Linked DNA regions of Elephas maximus indicus. The protein of the gene in region 1 purifies or fractionates together with the protein of each later gene. This does not show direct contact. Links are inferred from orthologs where the notes say so. Each region holds a gene or a part of one and is shown on either strand. Other genes may lie near its edges. The genes, in order: NUFIP1 and ZNHIT6.

What was found.
Region 2: the proteins of NUFIP1 (region 1) and ZNHIT6 purify together in Homo sapiens (affinity purification with western blotting; 3 studies listed by BioGRID and IntAct, with this or other methods). This does not show direct contact. The link is inferred for Elephas maximus indicus from reciprocal best matches to the Homo sapiens genes NUFIP1 and ZNHIT6.

The regions. Positions count from the first base shown.
Region 1 is NC_064832.1:35,298,750-35,308,972, reverse strand, and holds the start of NUFIP1 (FMR1-interacting protein NUFIP1), read right to left. Parts: upstream 4,628-10,223; 5' UTR 4,604-4,627; coding exon 4,192-4,603; intron 650-4,191; coding exon 567-649; intron 1-566. Other genes in the region: GPALPP1 (GPALPP motifs-containing protein 1), read left to right, coding at 4,825-4,912, 9,422-9,554. UniProt on the Homo sapiens protein: Binds RNA.
Region 2 is NC_064821.1:135,199,738-135,210,092, forward strand, and holds the start of ZNHIT6 (box C/D snoRNA protein 1), read right to left. Parts: upstream 4,222-10,355; 5' UTR 4,050-4,221; coding exon 3,385-4,049; intron 1,252-3,384; coding exon 1,186-1,251; intron 932-1,185; coding exon 825-931; intron 740-824; coding exon 654-739; intron 1-653. UniProt on the Homo sapiens protein: Required for box C/D snoRNAs accumulation involved in snoRNA processing, snoRNA transport to the nucleolus and ribosome biogenesis.

The DNA.
Region 1 (10,223 bases):
ATAAACTATTTCAAATTTAAAACATTAAATTTAGTTTTACTTGAATTTACAGGAAACTAAAGGAAGTATTTTTTTAAACACAGAACATAATTTCCTAAATGACCTATGTTAAAAAGAAAAATTATGAAAAAACAAAAGGTTTGTGTCATTATAGTTTATTCTTAATTTCATGCTTCCAATTTCATAAAATAAAAAACTTACAGTTCTATCCTCCTTAAATTTCCTCCTTCCTCTCCTAATCTACTAGTAATATTATTGCTTACTTTGTCAAGGTTTAACAATATTTGCCTCATTCTATAATCGTAACTCGTAGTTATTTTTACTCTTGATTGTATAACGAAATGGATTCATGCTTTCTATCAGTCCTTTCTGCACAATTTCTCCCTTTTTTTTCCTCACACAGATTTTGTTTAAAGCTTTTACCTACAGATAAGATCCTATTAGAGCAAAGCTCTGCTGCATCAATAATGGATGCAAAACACTGAGATAGTTATGAGAGAAATGCACGACATGAAAAAGTGACAAAGGGACTAAGGTGTCACATTCAAGAACATCTTAAAAAATACCTTTTTTTTCTGTTTTCTACTGGGAGGGAAGTTGAAATCATTGCCATTTGCATCATATTTTCGTGGAAAAAAGGAATGTTCAACTGAAAAAAACAAAGAGATCTATCAATGTTTGGAACCACACAATCGTTTAAAATTTTATTTGCTAAAAAAGTTACAAATATCTAAAGAAAAGCTCTGCTAAACTAGTCCTTCTAGGAAGAATAGCAGTCCAAATTCAAATAAATTAACAAAAATAAGACAAGTCTACCAAATAAACATTTTTCAAATGAATAAAAACTGATGAGATTACATGCCCCTATTTAGGCATCTGGAGCCCTGGTGGCACACTGGTTAAGAGCTATGGCTGCTAATCAAAAGGTCGGCAGTTCGAATCCACATGCTGCTCCTTGGAAGACCTACAGGGCAGTTCTACTCTGTCCTACAGGCTCGCTATGAGTTGGAATCAACTCGATGGCAACGGGTTTAGGGGGCCCTGGTGGCATAGTGGTCAAAGCAATCAACTGCTAACAGAAAGGTGGACGGTTCGAAACAATCAGCGGCTTTTTTTTTTTTTTAATTTTTATTGGCTTTAAGTGGAAGTTTACAAACCAAGTCAGTCTCTCATACAAAAACTTAAATACACTTTGTTATACGCTCCTAATTGCTCTCCCTCACTAATGAGACAGCACACTCCGTCCCTCCACTCTCTATTTTCGTGTCCATTTTGCCAGCTTCTGACCCCCTCTGCCCTCTCATCTCTTCTCCAGACAGGAGCTGCCCACAGAGTCTCATGTGTCTACTTGATCCAAGAAGCCCACTCTTTATCAGTATCATTTTCTATCCCATAGTCCAGTCCAATCCCTGTCTGAAGAGTTAGCTTTGGGAATGGTTCCTGTCTTGGGCTAACACAAGATCTGGGGACCATGACTTCTGGGGCCTTCTAGTCTCAATCAGACCATTAAGTCTGCCCTTTTTATCAGAATTTGAGGTCTGTATCCCACTGCTGTCCTGCTCCCTCAGGGGTTCTCTGTTGTGTTCCCTGTCAAGGCAGTCATTGGTTGTAGCCGGGCACCACCTAGTTCTTCTGGTCTCAGGCTCCATCAGCAGCTTTTCAGGAGAAAGTTGTGGCAGTCTGCTTCCACAGATTTACAGCCTTGGGAACACTATGGGGTCACTATGAGTCGGAATCAACTCAACAGCAGTGGAATGGATTTAGGTATCTCTAAGTACAGAAATGGATAATCTTACCAAATGAAATTCCTTGCAGTTATTTCAAATATTAAAATGAAATCCCTGATACAGTTATTCCAGCATCAATCTAATATCAAGAAAACACAGCCTTGTAAAACACATCTTCTCTCAAATCCCACTGCCTCTTTCCATTATCACTGCCATCATCCAACTCAGAAACTCTGATCTTTCACCTAGATTACTATTATAACTTCCTAGACTGTCTTCCAGTTCTTAAGCCTTTCCTCTTCAACTGACCCTGTAGACCAACACCACAAAAATAGTCTCCAATCATGTCACTGCCCTGTTCAAAAATCTGCAAATAGCTTCCTTGAGTCCTTCATTGAGATTCCAGTTCATTTTCTCACCCTCCCTTACACATCCCCGCCCCCGCACCCCACCACTACATAATCCGATGCAATCACACTCGTTAGCTGCCTTTGAGTTGTCCCCACCCCTCGTTCACGGCAACCCCGTACACAACAGAACAAAACGCTGTCCAGTCCTACACCACCCCCACAATGGGTTGCAGATTCGGCAGGCCACTGTGATCCATAGGGTTTTCACTGGCTGAGTTTTGAATGTAGATGGCCAGGCCTTTCTTCCTAATCTGTCTTAGTCTGGAAGCTCAGCTGAAACCTGATCGGCATCACAGCAACACACAAACCTCCACTGACAGACAAGTGGTTGCTTGCACTTGAGGTTCATTGGCTGGGCATCAAACCCAGGTCCCCTGCATGGGAGGTAAGACTTCTAGCATGACCACTGGCATCACTGCCATCTCAGTCACACTAGAACACTGCAATCTACAGAGCCCACCTTGTACTGACAACTGTTTGCCTCCGCAGAGAAAGTACATCCTCCAGATCCTACACAGCTCCTAAGACACTTCCTGCAAAAGCTTTCCCCAATTTCCTCTGCACTCTGAAATCATCTTTTACGTGCCTCTGTCACCAGTCAGGAGCCCTGGTGGCACAGTGGTTAACGGCTTGGCTGCTAACCAAAAGGTCGGCAGTTCGAATCCACCAGCCACTCCCTGGAAACCCTATGGGGCAGCTCTATTCCGCCCTATAGGGTCACTGTGCGTCGGAATCAACTCGACAACAATGGGTTTGGTTTGGTATCACCAGTCGCACTGCATTGTGATTTGTATTTATGAAACTTTATCACCTGTCTTTGGACTGTCTTAGTCCCACTCATATCTCCACCATTTGGCATACAGTATGATATCAATTAAGTACACATTTGAATTCCACTTAGCCTAAATTGAACCTCATGCAGAATTAACTAGCACATGGCTTTAAATATCATCTATATGCTGATGATGCCCAAATTTATAGTGCCACACACATCTCCATTGAAAGTACGGACTCATAGCTAACAGTCTACATGTAGCTCTTCTTGGCGCTAACATATTCCAAACTCAACTCCTGGCCTACCCTTCCAAATCTGTTCCATCCATATCCTTCCCCATCTCAGTTCCTTTTTTGTCTGGCAAAATACCTTAAGTCATCCTTGCCTCTTCTTTATCTCACACTCCTCATTTAATCCTTTAGCAAATCATGTTGGCCCTACCTTCCAAATATATCTGCAATCTGACTACTTCTCATTACCTCCAGAGCTCTATCCTGGTCCTATCTCTCGCTTGGGTAATTTTAACGATCTTGCCAATCTCCCTTACACTCAGTTCCTATCACACCAGCCAGATTAATCCTTCTACTACATAAATCAAATCATGTCACTCTTTTCCACAAAACCTATCAATGGCTACCCATCTCACAAGAGTATAAGTCAAAGTTCCATTAATGGTCTACAAGGCCCTTCAAGGTCAGCCCTCTTTCTTCATCTTCTACAATTCTACCACGAATTCTGTTCTTTCTAGTCAGATTGATCTTATCCATTCTGTTTTACAGCATTTGCCCCAAGGCTTCTGCACTTGCCTATATGCCTCCCCCCCCCCCCCCATATATCTGTGGCTCTGATCCCTGAAGTCTTTGCTCAAATGTTGCCTTCCTTATGAGGCCTTCTATGACCAGCCTATTTAAATTCGCTCTACCTATCATTCTTTACTGCTTCACCTCTTTCCAAAAAAAGAACACTTTTCATCTTCTAATACACAACGTAAATATTTTGATTATTGTCTGTCTTCCCACACTAGGGAGCTGTTACGCTCCACAAACAAGGATTTTTGTATGTTCTGTCCACTGCTGTTTCCAGTTACTGGTACATAGTGAGAACTCAATACAAATCTGCTACAGTAAATGAACAAGCGGGAAAAACATACCAGTCGTACACGGTATGGGACACTAATGACCAGACTCCAAGAGTGCAGAGAAGAACCAGATGTAGAGAGAGAAAATGGAGAAATGGGAGAGAGAAGAAAGGGGTGATACCACAAGGAAAAACAGCCTACCAGAAGAGTTGTGGGACTTCTGATGCTTAGGAAAAGTATCATCAGGAGGCTGTCTCCAGTACCACGATGTCGAAGCCTGGTAATTCCAGAAAGGCTGGACGTTGAGTTGAGGCTGAGAATCAAGAGGGGACTGGGCGTCGAAGGGGGGCTGCGCCCCGGGAAGAAGCTGGGCGTCGAAGGGGGGCGGCACCCCGGGGAGCGCCTGGACCTCCCGGGAGGGCTGTGACTCCGAGGAAAGCCCTGATCCGGGTGTAGGATGAGACGACGGAGGTGGCGGCGGCGGCATCATTGCCCAGAGCATCCAGTTGTCCCGCATCGGGGTAGTGTTATTCAGAGGCCCCAACGTGGGAGTCAACTCGGGGGGTGGAATCCATCCCGACGGAGTCACGAAACCGCTCGCGGATTCAGCCATGCGACCCACCAGGTGGAAACTCTTGCAGGCGAATGCGGAACAAGCTTTTAGCGTCACTTCCGTTATCTTGTATTATACGGCACAGCCAACCACAAATCGAAACGTCATTTGTCAGCGCCGGAAAAACTTCCGGCATCGGTGACGGATCGCGGGCTGCCTTTTGGGTGGGTTTCATTCCGCGCGAACAGATTTGTGTGCGTGATTAGCTCCTGCCACCGCGGATGGCGAGAGACCTGATCGGGCCGGCGCTCCCGCCCGGCTTCAACGCCCGCGGGACAGCGGAGGACGAGGAGAGGGACCCGAGCCCGGGTAAGCGGCGGCGTGTCCCCTGCCCGCCAGGCCTGTCCACCACCTCTCTGGCCGGGGCTGGCTCTCTGAGGAGAGGCCTGAGTGGGAGGACGGAGCCGCTGGGAGTGAGCGCAGCCAACTTTCCCTCCCAAGCCCTAGCAGTAGGGAGGTGGTCGTGGGGGCCTCCTCAGAAAGTAGGGTGCGTTGCGCGAGCTTTGGCCTGGTAATCATAACGATGATGTATTTTCATTTAGCGCTTAATATGAGCCGGACGCTGTACTGAACGGTCGACACATGTTCAATAATTTAATACTTTCGGGAACTAGGTAAAAATTATTGTCATTCCCATGTTACAAACAGAGAAACCAAGGATCCAACGGGTGCCCAGATCACACAGCTAGTAAGTGGTGGAGCCCGAATTGGAACAGTGGAGCCTGTGCTCCTAACCTCTGTGCCGTATTTATTGCCTTCTGAGGACGAGACTCTTGGCTTTCCCAGAAGACTCTTGGCTCTCTAGCCCCAACCCCGTTTTCCTAACCTCTCATTTTGTTTTTATGTCACACACGCGTGCGCGCTCAGTGTTCAAGCCAGACCACGTTTCTGTACAGTTCCTCAGTGCTCTAGGCTCCTTCTGCCCTTATTCTCCTGCACTTCGTTACACACCTGACAAATTCCTACTCATCCTTCAAGACCTCCAACTTGGGTGTCATCTTAATGAAGCCTTTCCAAACCCTCCCAAGCATTGTCACACCTTCCTCTTTGCCCATAGGTTTTCCCTACTTAATTCCATCACATATTTAATGCATTGTATTTGAATTATTTGTTAGCATATCTGTCTCCACCACTGCACTGTGGAATTCCAACCTAAACACATAGTAGGCATTTGGTACTTGCCAAAGAAATGCTTCTTAGACTCCTCCAAGTATATCTATGTTTGTTCTAAATAGTAGATTGAGATTGGCACTATAGTTGGAGAAAAGTAAACTGAAAGAGTCATCTTTCTGTTTCTGGATCTAATGTTTGTGCTTTGATTACCCCTAGGCCATGTTTTACCTAGAGGTTTTCCTTCCAGGTCTCATTTCTGTTATAGCCATTGAAATGCCATGCCCTGTCGCATAGTGGTTAAAGAGCTTGGCTGCTAATGGAAAGGTCAGTGGTTCAAAGCCACCAGCCACTTTGCGGGAGAACGATGTGACAGCCTGCTTCTGTAAAGATTACAGCCTTGGATACTCTATGGAGCAGCTCTACTCTGTCCTGTAGGGTTTCTGTGAGTCGGAATCAACTCCAGGGCGATAGATTTTTCTTTTAGCAAGGAAGGTTCCATTCAACTAAGGCTGAAGAAAAATGTAGTTAACCAAGTTTTGTGGCTGGGTTCCTATGTGTATGTTGTTTCTGGTTCACCGTATTTTCTGATTTTAAACGAACCACCATCTCCCAAATAGATACTTCTATTATGACTCACTTTTATCAGTTTACTTTTTTTTATTTTTTTTAATTCTTTAAGCACTTAACACATTGTGCCTGTAGACATATGTGTATCTCCTTCTACCTGAAAGGAGTGTTTACTTCAACTCAGGTCAGTGCCTAGCACATAAAAGCTCTTTGGTAGATATTTGTTGAAAGACTTCCCTGTTTCACCAAGCACAATATCTTGCACAAAGTTGGCCATTTTTAGCACATAATCCTCTATGCTATAATTCCATTCACATTATAACCTCCCAGATGTTTCATCTAAAACAGATCCCTAAAATTCTGCAGATATCATTTTTTTCCACATTATTCTTTTATTCACATTAGTGTATTCTGGGCTTTTAAGAAGTTTATTGGTAACAATATTCTCCATTTTTTTTTTTTTTTTAACTTTTGTGGCTTCTGGTGAAATTGCATTTTTTAAACCTTTTTATGAAGTACAGTAAACATACAAAAAAGTATACATATAAAAAATTTAAAGATTGATAAAATTTCATCAAATGAAGATACCTGTGATACCAGCATCAGGATCAAGAAATAGAACATTAGCAGCCATAGAGGCTCCCCTTGGACCACTATCCGGTTACTGTTTGCCTCTCCACCCACCCCTGCAACCAAAGGGTAACCATTGTCCTGACTTAATAGCAGCACAGATTCGATTTTGTGTGCTTTTGTACTTAAGATGTGAAAACAAAGCTCTTGACTTCCCCCCAAATCTTCTCCCACTCCTAGCCTTCACCATATTAGAGAATGGTGTTACCATCCCTCTGGCTTGCCAATCATGCCAGGAACCTAAGAGTCTTCCTTAGCTCCTCTTTTTGTCTCATCGCTCCCATCCAGATGACTAGCAGGTACTATTTGCTCTTCCTTCAAAATTTGTTGCAAATTTAACCACTTTATATTAGCTTCTAACTCAGCTCCCCTACTCCTGACCCCTATGTCTATTGTCCACAAGCATTTCTTTTTAAAGGTAATTCAGATCATGTCTCTCCCTACTTAAAACCTCCAATGACTGCCTGTTGTAATTAAATAATATCCAAACTGTTCTAGCCTGTTACAGCATTTCTTGAGTGCATAGTGTATGCCAGATACTGTGCTAAATGCATGTCTTAGCTTATGTAATCTTCACAACAACTATATAAGGTTGGAATTATTATCAACCTCATTTTAGAGAGGAAGAAAATAGCACAGGTTAAATAACTTATCCAAATCACACAGCTAATACATGGCTGAGCTGGAATTCAAAGCCAAGGAATCTGACTCCGAAGTGTACATGCTAGCCCCTTTGTACCAGGCACCTTCATCTTCTTTGCTTACTTTGCTTCAGCCACACTGGCATTTTTGTCCCTCAAGCACATCAAGCTTGTTCCCCCATAGGACTTTTACACTGGCCGTTCCTCTCTCTAGGTGCAGTGGTTAAGCCCTTGGCTGCTAACCAAAAGCTCAGCTCTTCAAACCCTCCAGCCACTAGGCAGGAGAAAGATGTAGCAGTCTGCTTCTGTAAAGATTATGCCTTGGAAACCCTATAGGGCAGTCCTCCTCTGTCCTTTAGGGTCGCTATGAGTCAGAATTGACTCGACGGCAGTGGGTTTTGGTTCCTTTCTCTGGAATGTTCTTTCCTCAGACTGTCGCATGGCCACTGTCATCTCATCATGCGCGTCACCATTCAAATGCCATCTTCTCAGAGACTCCTTCCCTGACTGCTGTTTTTAAAGCTACCCTCCCACATATCTACAGTTACCTTATCCCTGTTTTCTGGAATTGATCTTATTTGCTTCTTTTTATGTTTGTTTCTCAAGAAGCGTTTAGTCCATAAATGTTTGTTGGAGGATGGGTGTGAACTGTTTGTTGAATGTTGAGTAGTTTAACAGTTAAGGGTAAAAGCTCAGATACCAAACTATCTCAGCTTCACTATTTAGTGTGTGAAGATGGACAACTTAGTTATCCTTTCTGTGCCTCAGTTTCTTCATCCGTAAAATGCAAATAATAACATCTCCTTAATAAAGTTGGTGTGAGGAGTAAGTAGATTAATGCACCTAAATTTCTTAAAGAGTACATAGCACATAGGAACTCAAAACGTGTTATTTTTCTTATATTTACTATTTTTAAATTTTCATTATTACTATTGAATGAGTGGCATACCTGGGAAAATCGTATATCCAGGTCCCACTCGAGACCAGTTGAATCGGAATCTGGGGAAAGGGCCCAGGGATCCTTTTTTTTTTTTTTAAGAAATATTTTGGAGATCCTGAAAAATATTCAGGCTTAGGAGCTATGGCAAGCTATGGTAATAGACTTGAAGCATCACTTGTCAGGATCAACATAGACAGTCGTGTCTATGTGACACCATCCATCATGCAGTTATTTGTCATTTTGTTGAGATGTAAAGTGAGACTAAGTCACTCTGGGAGGGGGCCCGAGACCCTTACCACTTTCCCGGCATCCCCTTCCTGGTGTGACTCTTTCTCTTCTGTGTCTCTCTGTTGGTGAACAGTAAAACCTAGCATCACTGTAATTTTGTTTCTGCTTGCAGAGTCATCTTGAAAAGAAAATGGTGATGCCAGTAAGGATACTTTTTTAAGTAGTAGTTCTTAGTCAGAAACCAGAATAGATCATTTCGATTCTTGATATATTCAGGTACAGAATAGTACATTTATTATCAGGTTAACTCTTTGACATAAATATGTCTACCATATGCTGTCTATAAAAAAAAAAAAAAAACCATGAGACTTTTGGCAAGTGCACCAACGAATACAAAAATTGTATGTTGTCAGGGAAATTACATGCTGTTGCTAAATTTATAAATTTGAATATTAGCAAAGCTCTTGTGACTATGTCCTAGTTATACTATGTAAGACATGATTTCTGCCTTCCTGGAATAACAATGTAATTGGGAGGCAAAACCACCGTACATAAAACATTAGCAAATGATAGTAAAGTTCATAGCAAATGATAGACAGCCAGTGCTATAAATTGCAGAAAGGGAGTGAGAAGTGCCAGCTAGAGGGTTCATGGGAGCAGTCGTGGTTAGTTATGACGTACGCAATAAATCCTCTTCAGTTGCAGGACCAGCTTTGCCCCCTAATTATAAAAGCAGTAGTTCGGATTCATCAGACAGCGATGAGGACAGTAGTTCTTTGTACGAAGAAGGAAATCAGGAGTCTGAAGAAGATGACACTGGTCCAACTGCAAGGTCAGTCACTTACTTAAATGATAAACCAACCTGCAAACCTAGTGTAAGTTGGCTGCAACAGATAGCCAGTAAAGGAATATCAGATCTGTATTTATAGAGCACAGGAAGATAACTTTTCACGTGGCATCTTATCACGAACTTCACTTTTTACAGAGAAATTTATTCTAGTAATGTATAGCTGTGAAGGTATCTGGAATTTCAGTTAGTTTTTATCTAAAGAATTTTCTTTAAGATATTATCGAAGTGGCTAAACAAACTATAAAATTTCCTTTTAAAAAGAAATTTTTATGTAACATCAGAATTGGAGGAAGACTAATTAACAACCTGCGATATACAGATAATACAACCTTGCTTGCTGAAAACAAAGGGGACTTGAAGCACTTACTAATGAAGATCAAAGCCTACAGCCTTCAGTATGAATTATACCTCAACATGAAGAAAACAAAAATCCTTAGAACTGAACCAATAAGCAATATCATGATAAATGGAGAAAATACATTAAATTGTCAAGAATTTCATTGTACTTGGAGTCACAATCAATGCCCATGGAAGCAACAGTCAAGAAATCAGACAACATATTGCATTAGGCAAATCTGTGTTACTGTAAATTGTGGGTTCGGCCCCCCTGCGGCAAAGTCAATAATGAGACAGGAGGAGGTAAGCAGTAAG
Region 2 (10,355 bases), on another chromosome or scaffold:
TTCCATTTTCACTTAAGGTACATTAACAGCCCTTATCTGTTTCTCTAACTTCATGTTCAAAATTCTCCTCACTCACTATGCTTCAGTCACCTCTTATTCCTCAAACATGCCGAGCTTGCTCCTTGACTTGGGGACTTTACTTTTGCTGGTCTCCATCTGGAATAATCTCCCCTGAAATGTTCACATGACTGTCTCTTTCCCCGCATTTAGATCACTGCTTAAACATCACCTCTTCAGGGAAGTTTTTCCTGACTACTCTCAAAACAGTACCCTGAAACAACCCCAGCACACACACACACACCACTGTCATTCTCTTTGTCTCCACAGACTTCTTTATTTTCTGCAGGTGCTTAACTCTGAGATTATATTTGCTTCTCTTCTCATCTCTCCTATCTCCTCCACTACATTACAACCGTCACGAGGGGAAGGACTTTATTTTGTTCAGTAGTGTCTTCCTAGATAACTAGAATAGTGCTGGATCGTGGCAGCCACTTAATTTACTGAATAAAAGAATAAGCCTAACTGATTGAAAGGAATTATAACTGGAACCCACCCACACCCAGTGCCGTCGAGTCGATTCTGACTTATAGCGACCCTATAGGACAGAGTAGAACTGCCCCATATAACTGGAAGCAATTAGAAAAAATACTTACATGTTTATTTCCTATTGGTCTTTTCAAAAAAGTGTCTCTAGAAATATAGTCTGCTGTTCTTGCCACATCTTCCAAAAATCGATAATCTAAAAATTTCAAAATAGAAAAATAAATGAATGACCTAATCCAATGGCCAGGAAACATCAATCTGTTATACATAACATGGCTTACCACTTAGAAGATTCATTTCAGTAAACTGTTGTATTGAAACAAACGCAGTTTTATCTCGAACTCCATTACATGTCAATTCCGCTTTGTGTTTCTTTACACAGGGCAAACTGAAGGGACAAAGAGGAAGTACTTTTATACTTTGTGGTAAGAAGTGTACCCAAAAACCAAACCAAACCCACTGCTGTCAAGTTGATTATGACTCATAGCCACCTTATAGGGCAGAGCAGAACTGCCCCATGGAGTTTCCAAGGAGCACCTGGCGGATTCGAACTGCTGACCTCTTGGTTAGCAGCCTTAGCACTTAACCACTATGCCACCAGGGTACAGATAGAAGTAAAAAGGTAAGTAGTTACACATATACCTGCAGGAATATCGCATACAACGTGGACATCTGTACTTTGCTTCTTCTGTACCACAAGTTTCACACCTACAAAAGCCAACATGTAATTTATTAAATTATAAAATATCAGTTCTACTTATCTATTTATAAACTTGAATGTGATTCAATTACCTGTCACACTCAATTTACAGACATGTAGTCATACTGAATAGAGTATATGCAAGGGTAGGTCTGACAAAATACTTGGTAGCTGTCAAGCATTGTTTGAAAACTTTCCTCTTTGAAACCAAATAGCACTTACATTTCTAATGTTGTTAATAATATGTAATTCAAGAAAACACGTATTAAAAATTTTTAAATCTCATTTTTACTGCTTTTTCTACTATACACAAAGAATGAGATTACTCACTGATATTTTAACTTTTACTTCCTGATAATCTCATACGTGTATGTGTATGTGCATGGGATGTGTATGAATCCAGAAACCCAATCCATGAGCTATGTGTAGACATTTTAAAAGCACACACACTAGAAAAAGAATATTAAACCAGTCAAATTTAGAGAAAGTAGTAGTTGCATCTTTTTTCCTTACTCCACACCCAACCCAGATTGAGCATCAAAACAATCTAGAAATGCTACCGCCCACCACATGTCTTCAACTGCTCTCCTCAGATCTTGGGGTACTGACAGTCGAACTACAGCTACTTCTATTTGACCCACAGTGTTCTACATAGTAATATTCCCAAGAATCTAACCACTCTTTTATTTCCTATCTTGTCACATAATCATACACTATAAAGAAACTAAAAAGCACATCAAAAGCAATAAATATTCATACTACCCATACAGAAACTAGACTCTTGAGTTTAAGTGCATTTTTGTCTAATGGTAACGTAATCATATCTAGCATTGTTGGTTTTATTAGATCTTTCCTCATTTCCACCCTCTCTGAAAGAAATACCAAGCTAAGAGCATATTAAGGTTTTCCAGTCCTCAGACTTCTCATTTCCTAACTTGGCCACTGCCCATCTGACTTATTACCAACCTCACATATTCTACTGAACAACTGACAACATTCAACATTGTTGCTCCTCTATATCCCCGTAACAGGTGCCTAACTCAGGCTCCACGGACCCAAACTTGTACTACTTACCATTATTCCATCCCCTACAGGTAATTTCCTCACTCTATACAACAGAGAACTCCACAGGACCAGACAATACAAACTGTTTCCAACAGGTCTCCAATAATTCGTGAGTGGTAATTTCAAAAACTGTTTACAAAGATGAACTATCAATAAAATCACTATTCCTGACTCAACATGTGGTTTTTATATTGTAAATGAATTGACTCATTTTGTGCATGTACACACAGACACACACATATATATATACTGCCAAACACTGTGATGCATGTTCAGGATACAACAGTAAACAAAAAAGTGACTTGCCTTTGTGGGGCTTAAGTTTATATGGGGAGATAGGCATTAATCAAATATCTCAGCAGTACATAATTGCAAGTTATGATACATGCCCTGAAAGAAAAGTACGTGGAACTATCAGAGAAATTACCAAAACCAAACCTGTCGAGTAGATTCTGACTCATAGCGACCCTGTAGGACAAAGCAGAGCTGTCCCAGAGTTTTTAATCAAGACTGGAGGATGTAAGAGGTTAGAAGAAGGTCAAGAAGGCTTCCCTGAGGTAGCGACATTTGAGCTGAGATCTGAAGAGTAAGTAAAAATTTTTAGAAGCGTGGATGGGGAGTTTTCCCGGTGGAGGTAATGAGCTTCCACAAAAGTTATGAGACAGATGGAACCTGGCCTAATCAAGAAGCAGAAAGGGTTGGCCTAAAATGTTCTCTGCAGATTACATAATTCTCACCATCATGCTTATGAGAATGGGCAGATTTTTGGCATTGGCCACACAAATACATTGCCACTAAACATGGAAAATTGAATTAAGTACTAAACAATTGCCACCTTTATATTTCCCAGTTGTTTGCTTATTCATGGAAACCCTGGTTGCTTAATGGTCAAGAGCTACAGAAGCTAACCAAAAGGTCGGCAGTTCGAATCCATTAAGTGTTCCTCGGAACCTCTATGGGGTAGTTCTGTTCTGTCCTATAGGGTCCCCACGAGTTGGAATCGACTCCACACGAGGGCAACGGGTTTGGTTTTTTTTTTGGTTTACTCCCCCCAATCAGATTTCCCCCCAACCTACCTTGACATGGCCAGTTTCCTCTTGCAGCTCACTGGGGGGCTGATCTCACGCTCTTCCTTCACCTTTGTATCATCCATCACTTCTTTTTTCAGGACATCCTTCTCTTCTTTTACACAAAATGCATCCATCATTTCCTCCTCTTTTATGTTTTGGTCAGCCAACATCTCCTCTTTTTTAATCTCAAATTTAACCTCCTTCTCTTCCTTCACTTCTAGCCAGTCCATAACCTCTTCCTTAACCTTCACTTTCTCTTCCTTTATCTCTGGTTCATCCATCTTTTCTTCTTTTATCACCAAACTAGCATCCATCTCCTGTTTCACCTCCAGTGTGCCCGTTTTCTCATCCTTCACCTCAGGCCCATTCTCCACCTCTTGCTTCACCCACCATGCATCTAACTTGCATTCTTCTATTTCTGACCAGTCTGTTATTTCTTGCTTCACAACCTTCAGGTCCACTCGCATGTCCTTTTGCCTTTGTCCACTTCCTTCTCCTCCAACCCTTGTTTTCTCCATTCCTGTCAGCCCATTCCCCTCCTCTCCACCGCAGGCCTCCGCCATCCCTGCAAAAACTTCCTCCCTACACGACCCGGGTCTTAGCCGCGCCCCCACTGCTCCACTCATGCAATCTCCTCCCGGAGTCCCTTCATTTTCAGCAGCAAACTCCATCAACTCACGGATGTTGACCTCTGCTACCACTCCGTCCCGAATGTGGCCGCTTCCACGCCAGGAATGAATTACCGATCCAAATACCGACAGCAGCACACGTGCAGGGCGGAGCAGCCGAGATCACTGAATTCGTCGTAAAGCAACGCTCCCGCGCCTCAGCACTTCACGACTGGTAGAGCTCTTTACGGCTCTTTGGAGGTCCTCCCCGACTCCTCTGTGAGAAACAGCGCGAGGCCACGCCCACTGTAACTCCCGCCTTCCCGGGCGGGGTTTAGCCACTCCCTATTCCTGGGGCGGGGCCGCCTCAACCCTTCCATCGGCGGAACACCTCCCCTCGCCTCGCCTGTTGTGCAAAGATTGAGGGAAGGAAAAGAAGCGACACCCTTTCAGTTTTGAAATGTGAAGTCCCACGCTAATCTGTATTAACGATTAAATCTAATCTTGTGAAAAAATGGAGGGTTCACCTGATGTTACAATTCTCGGAGCTTCGGTTTCTTCACGTACACACTGCTGTCAGTTGCCATGGAGTTTGCCCACTCATGACGACCCCAAGCACAATCGAACCCGTGCACAACCGAAGTCTTGTGCCGTCCCCGTGATGACTATACGCTAGCATAGGCAATGATAATACAAATCTCTTAGTGTTGTGAAGAATGAATAAAATTGTGCATGGAAATCTAGCAAGGACTGACACAAACTCAATATATGGTGGCTGTTATTACTGGGCCCTTGAGTGGTGCAAATGATTAACTAGCTTGGCTGCTAACCGAAAACCTGGAGGTTCCAGTCCACCCAGAGGCCCCTCAGAAAAAAGCCTGGCGATCTACTTCAAAAAATCTGCCGTTGAAAACCCTGTGGAGCACAGGTCTACTCTGAAATATATGAGGCTACCATGAGTTGGAATTGACAGCAACTGGTTTGGTTTTTTGGTTTTGTGGGATTATACTCCTCAAATGTTGCAGTGTTTTCCCCTGTGATCTCATATTCCCTTGGGAGTATCAGCAGCCTTAGCTCTCAGGTGTATTTGAAAAAGAGGATCAAATCGCTAAGACTTGGAATGTGACTCTTCTGGTCAGGTGTGTGTGTGTGTGTGTGTGTGTGTGTCTGTCTGTCTGTCTGTCTGTCTGTCTGTCTGGGAGGGGGATAGGGAGGAGATGCGGTAAAAAGCCTCAGGGTAGAAAGTCTCTGGTGTCACAATGTGGACTCCTGTAAGTCCCAACCTGCCCTCCACTCCCATGAGGAGAACATGCCCCTTAGGTTACCTCTCTGTAACCCTGCATTTGCCATTCCTAAGAGCTAGTGGAAGCCCTGGTGGGGTAGTGGTTAAGTGCTATAGCTGCTAGCCAAAAGGCTGGCAGTTCAAATCCACCAGGCACTTCTTGGAAAATCTATGGGGCAGTTCTACTCTGTCCTATAGTGTCACCATGAGTCGGAATGCACTAGAGGGCAATAGGTTTTGGTTTTTTTTTTTGGTTACCGTCCTTTGTGGTAGCCAGCTAGACCACTGGGTAAGAAGTAGGCAAAGAAGAACTGTTTCAAACCAACCTTTATGCATGTTTATCGGCTTTCCTGACATTTCTCTTCCTTCTTGGGTAGGTGCTGAGTTGGTAGGTGCTGCTGCTTTTATGCCCCATCTTGCACTGAAGTTGGCTGTAATCCTACCAGGGCAGTGTAGAGTAAAAAAAAGGCACGGAGATTCTATTCCTTCATTCCAACCCCTACCCTTCCATTGGTGTCCTTCTTTGACTCCCACCGCAATGGGATCAAACTCCCTTCCATTTCTTAGGGATTCCTCAGAGCTTCTGAATTAGATTCTGAGATCAATCCTCCTCCTCACAGTTACATGACCTTTTCGGGATTGTATTTGGGGGGGGAGGCAGCCATTTTGTTAGTTTGCTTCCTTTTCAGGAACTGAAAGCTTTCGGATTGAACTTCTCAGCAATAAAACCAAAACCAAACCGATTGCCATGGAGTTGATTCCAACTCACAGCAACCCAATAGAGTTTGAAAGGAGTGCCTGGTGGAGTCCAACTGCCGACCTTTCAGTTAGCAGCCATAGCACTTAGCCACTAGGCCACCAGGGTTTCCTTCAGCAATAGTGTATGGTAATGAATGTTCTGAAATGGTTTGAGGTGTGTCCCAAATATCTTCCCACTGGGTTTCCCATTGTGTTGCTCAAATTCTCCCAGAATGCTGAAAAGTTTCATTTTATTCACAACTTTGAGGTAATGCAGTAATCAACCGCTTCATCAACATCACCTGGTACAAACCAAACCAAGGCCACTGCTGTAGAGTCGATTCTGACTCATAGCACTTGATCAAAATGGGTTTTTGGATCTCTCCCTAGACGTAGTTAATCAAAATAGAGAGAGCTGCTGGGAAATCTATATTTTAACCAAGTATTTCTGTGTAGTGGCTCCGATATGCAGCCATGTTTGGGAGCCAGTAGGTGAAGATCCTACAACTGGACTGTCTGATATGGGAGCCACTATCCACAGTGCCTATCGAGCACTTGAAATGTAGTTATCAGAATCGAGATGTGCTTTTTCCAAAACAAGAAAAGAATGTAAACTATCTTATTAATAATCTATTAGATTATATGTCAAAACGATAGCATTTTGGATATAATGGGTTATATAAAACATTAAAATTAATTTCACCCCTTTCTTTTTACTGTTTTTAATGTGGCTACGAGAAAATTTTAAATTACATATGCATCTCACATTATATCTCTGTTGCACAGTGCTGCAGTAGAAGATGATATTAAAATTCAAATTTCAATGAGAAGGGATTAACATAAAGTGAATATTCAGTTAGCTGAGCATAATTAGTTTGCTTATAATTCGGGTAATTCAGTTAATAAATATTTATCTCTTCAATCCATTCTCCAATCTGAGCATATTTACAAATCACAAATCTGATCATGTGAGTAACCTCCTTAAAACCATTCAATGCCTAATTGTTGCTTTTAGGATAAAGCACTAAATCCTTACTATGTCCTTGAAAAGAGCCCTCATACTCTGGCCCATGTCTGCTCTCCAACCTTATCTCAATTACTCATCCTTCAGATGGCAACTCAAGCACTACTTCCCTGGAGAAGCATTCCTTGGCCACTCCCCTCCTTGGCTCCAGCCTAGGTGGTGGTGGTGGTTGCATGTGTGTGTTTAATTTAAAGCACTAATTCTAAGTTATAACTATATATTCATTAATACAGTAAAACCTGCAAAACAAGAACCTGCGTAAGGCAGAAATCTGTCAGGGAAGGAAACTTAAATGCTATTTTCCACTAAAACGAGCAATAGAAAAGGGGTAAGAGCTCACCCTGTCAAAGGTGGAAAACTTTCGAGACTTGGAAAACAAGGTAGTCCCGTCAAGTTCACAAGTTTCACTGTTAATCAGTTCATCAATACCTTTTAGGCCATGCAAAGGAGCTTGCACTTATTCATACTGTAGGTAAAAGGGAGCCAGATTAATTTCCTGAGCTGAGGTTCCAAGGTTGGAGCACAGAAATGGTCATGGAAGGAACCACAGGTCGATTGTGGGCATGATTATTCTTAAGCAGGGGACCAAAGATTTGGCTGAATCTATTATTGGCAAAAGGATAATTTCAAACAACAAATACATCATGATTCAAGAGCTTCAATCATAATCGAGAAGCCTTTAGAAGGATCCACAACTGCGTCATTACCATTAGAGATAACCAGGACCTGATACGGAAGGCATAATATTTGCTGCAGAGAAGTGTGTGAGATAGATTTATAAAAATATTTTTAAATATATTTTTTTTTAATGCCTGAAGCCTAAAAGTAGCAAGTTTTACTAGTTCTGAAACCAAGCTGAATAAATTCTTACTGTTTTCTCACTTCCATTAAATCGAAAACTTGCTAAACCTATTGCCACTGAGTTCATTATGACTCATACATAAAAACTTTGCCAGTCTATACTAATTAAGCTTTGTACAAAGTTTTTTTGTTTTGTTTTGTTTTTTTCACTGTATGAAGACTTGAAAGAAAAAGACATACTATTTTTCTGTGATATGTTAAATTATGTAGGAAATATTTGGGAACATTTAAAAATGATTTTAACTGTGGATGTTTTATATACAGTGAAAACTGTGAGAGCCAGAACTCAACAGAACTGCCTTGTGCTTCTGAATCTCCCAAATTTTCCACCTTTGAGAGGGTGCAGTCTTACTACTTTTCTGTTGCTCATTTTAGTGGAAAATATTATTTAAGTTTTTCTTCTCTGATAGGTTTCTGCTTTACACAGGCTTTGGCTTTCACAGGTTTTACTATAGTATCTTGTGTTAGTATTGGTAGTTAAGTGGTTGACCCCTCTTTTACAAATTGATAACACTCAAGTGAAAAAAATGGAATGTAATGTTAATAAAGTTCAAATAAAATTTTTATTTTCTAATAGTTCATGGTGATCTCCTTATCCCTATTCATGAAACTAGATTTCTGGTATTTACTTCAAGGAGTGAGAAGTTATCTTAAATTTCAACTCTAAATTTGTCCTGAACTATATACCTAGAAAGTTATTTTTAATGATTATTACTGAGATTATTTTTTGTATTTGTGTGGAGTCCTAAAATTCCACTGCTAGGTAAGGTCTATATTATAGCTCAGATTCCCCATCAATTGCTATTTTCTATAGAGGTGCCACTTTTCTAACTTGGCACTGAATTATGCCAGGACTCTGAATCCAAAGCACACAGATTGTGTAATTATGTACCTAGGCTGAGATGATAATGACTTCATCATACCTATCATAGTCAATTACTATATAGACCATGAAGAAAAAGCTATTATTTTTAACAGGGCAAGGCACTATACGTTGAAAGACTAGCTTATTCTTGCGAAATGATATGATAAAAAATACTAACCCTGTGTGTGAGGGACATCTCATACATTTTGGTCAGGACATGTGGTTTGCCGAAGTGTCTGCTGCCAAAAACCTTGTTCCTATTCTCAAGTGATTTTCTGTGTCACTAGCAGCATTCTCTTTCTTGGTTTATTGCACAACCGTCAATCAAAAAAATTTTTTTTTTTGCTTCCTACAGGAAGAACCACATATATTAGCAAGGACAGAGCCAGGTCTTATGAGGCCTGAAGCTCGTACAATTTTGGGGGTCTTCTTTATGAAAAAAGAACTAAAAATTATTGTACTTTTGCAGACTTTACAGACAGAAATGCATGTTTATGTTACGTTTTGAAGGCTGCTTTAGAACTCTAAAGTTTACATTTATTAGATTTGTGGTAACTCTGTTTCTATAGAAAGTGTATTTCAGATGAAGTTGATAGAATTAAAAAAAATTTTTTCTGTCTGTTTTAGGCTTTATTTTAATGTGCTAAACTATTTTGCCAGTGGGAAATGACTTTTACAGTGTAATTTCTGAATTTGCAGATTTTACTTTTGACTTGTGGTTACCTGTCTCTGTGTAGAAATGTTTTGACTTGGCTATTTGTGTTGTTACTGTATGAGAATTAATGTAACAAGAAATTACAGGAGAAAAATGTTATACTGTGATAATATAAAATATATATATATATAGAGCCCTTTAAATTGGAGCTCAACAAACATGAAATGGGATAAATATTAAGAAAACAATAACTGGGTATGTGATAGTCAAACCGCTGAAAGTCAAGGATAAAGAGAAATTTTGAGAGAAAAACAACATATTACATATAGATGAACAGCAACATGAATGATGGCTAATTTCTCATCACAAATAATGTAGGTCTGAAGACCTGGAATCACATATCCAAAGTGATGGAGGAAAAAAAAGATGGCAACCAAGAATTCCATTCTAGGGAAAATATCCTTTAAAAAATAAAGGTGAAATAAAGACTAAACTAGAGTGAATTCATTACCAGCAGTCCTATGCTACAAGAAATGGTAAAGGAAATTCTTAAAGGGAAATGACACCAGATGATAACATGGGTGTATAGGATACACAGGAAAAAATATATTTACATTTATAATTTTCTTGTTGTAATTATATGTATATATATATATATATATATATGCTTAAAGAAGAAATTATAACCCTGAAAAAAAAATTTTTTTTTTTTATTATTGGATTTATAATGTATACAAATGTACTACATATGACAACAATAGCACAAAGGATGAGGGTAGACTGTTTTAAGGTTTCTATATTTTATTTGAAGTATTAACTCTAAGTAGCTTGTGATGAATTAAATCTTAATATTGTTATATCAACAGCAACCACTAAAAAATGGAATAAGAGGGAAGTATATTTCTCTCTTTCTATAAATAAGGAAACTTTTTTCTAGATATGGT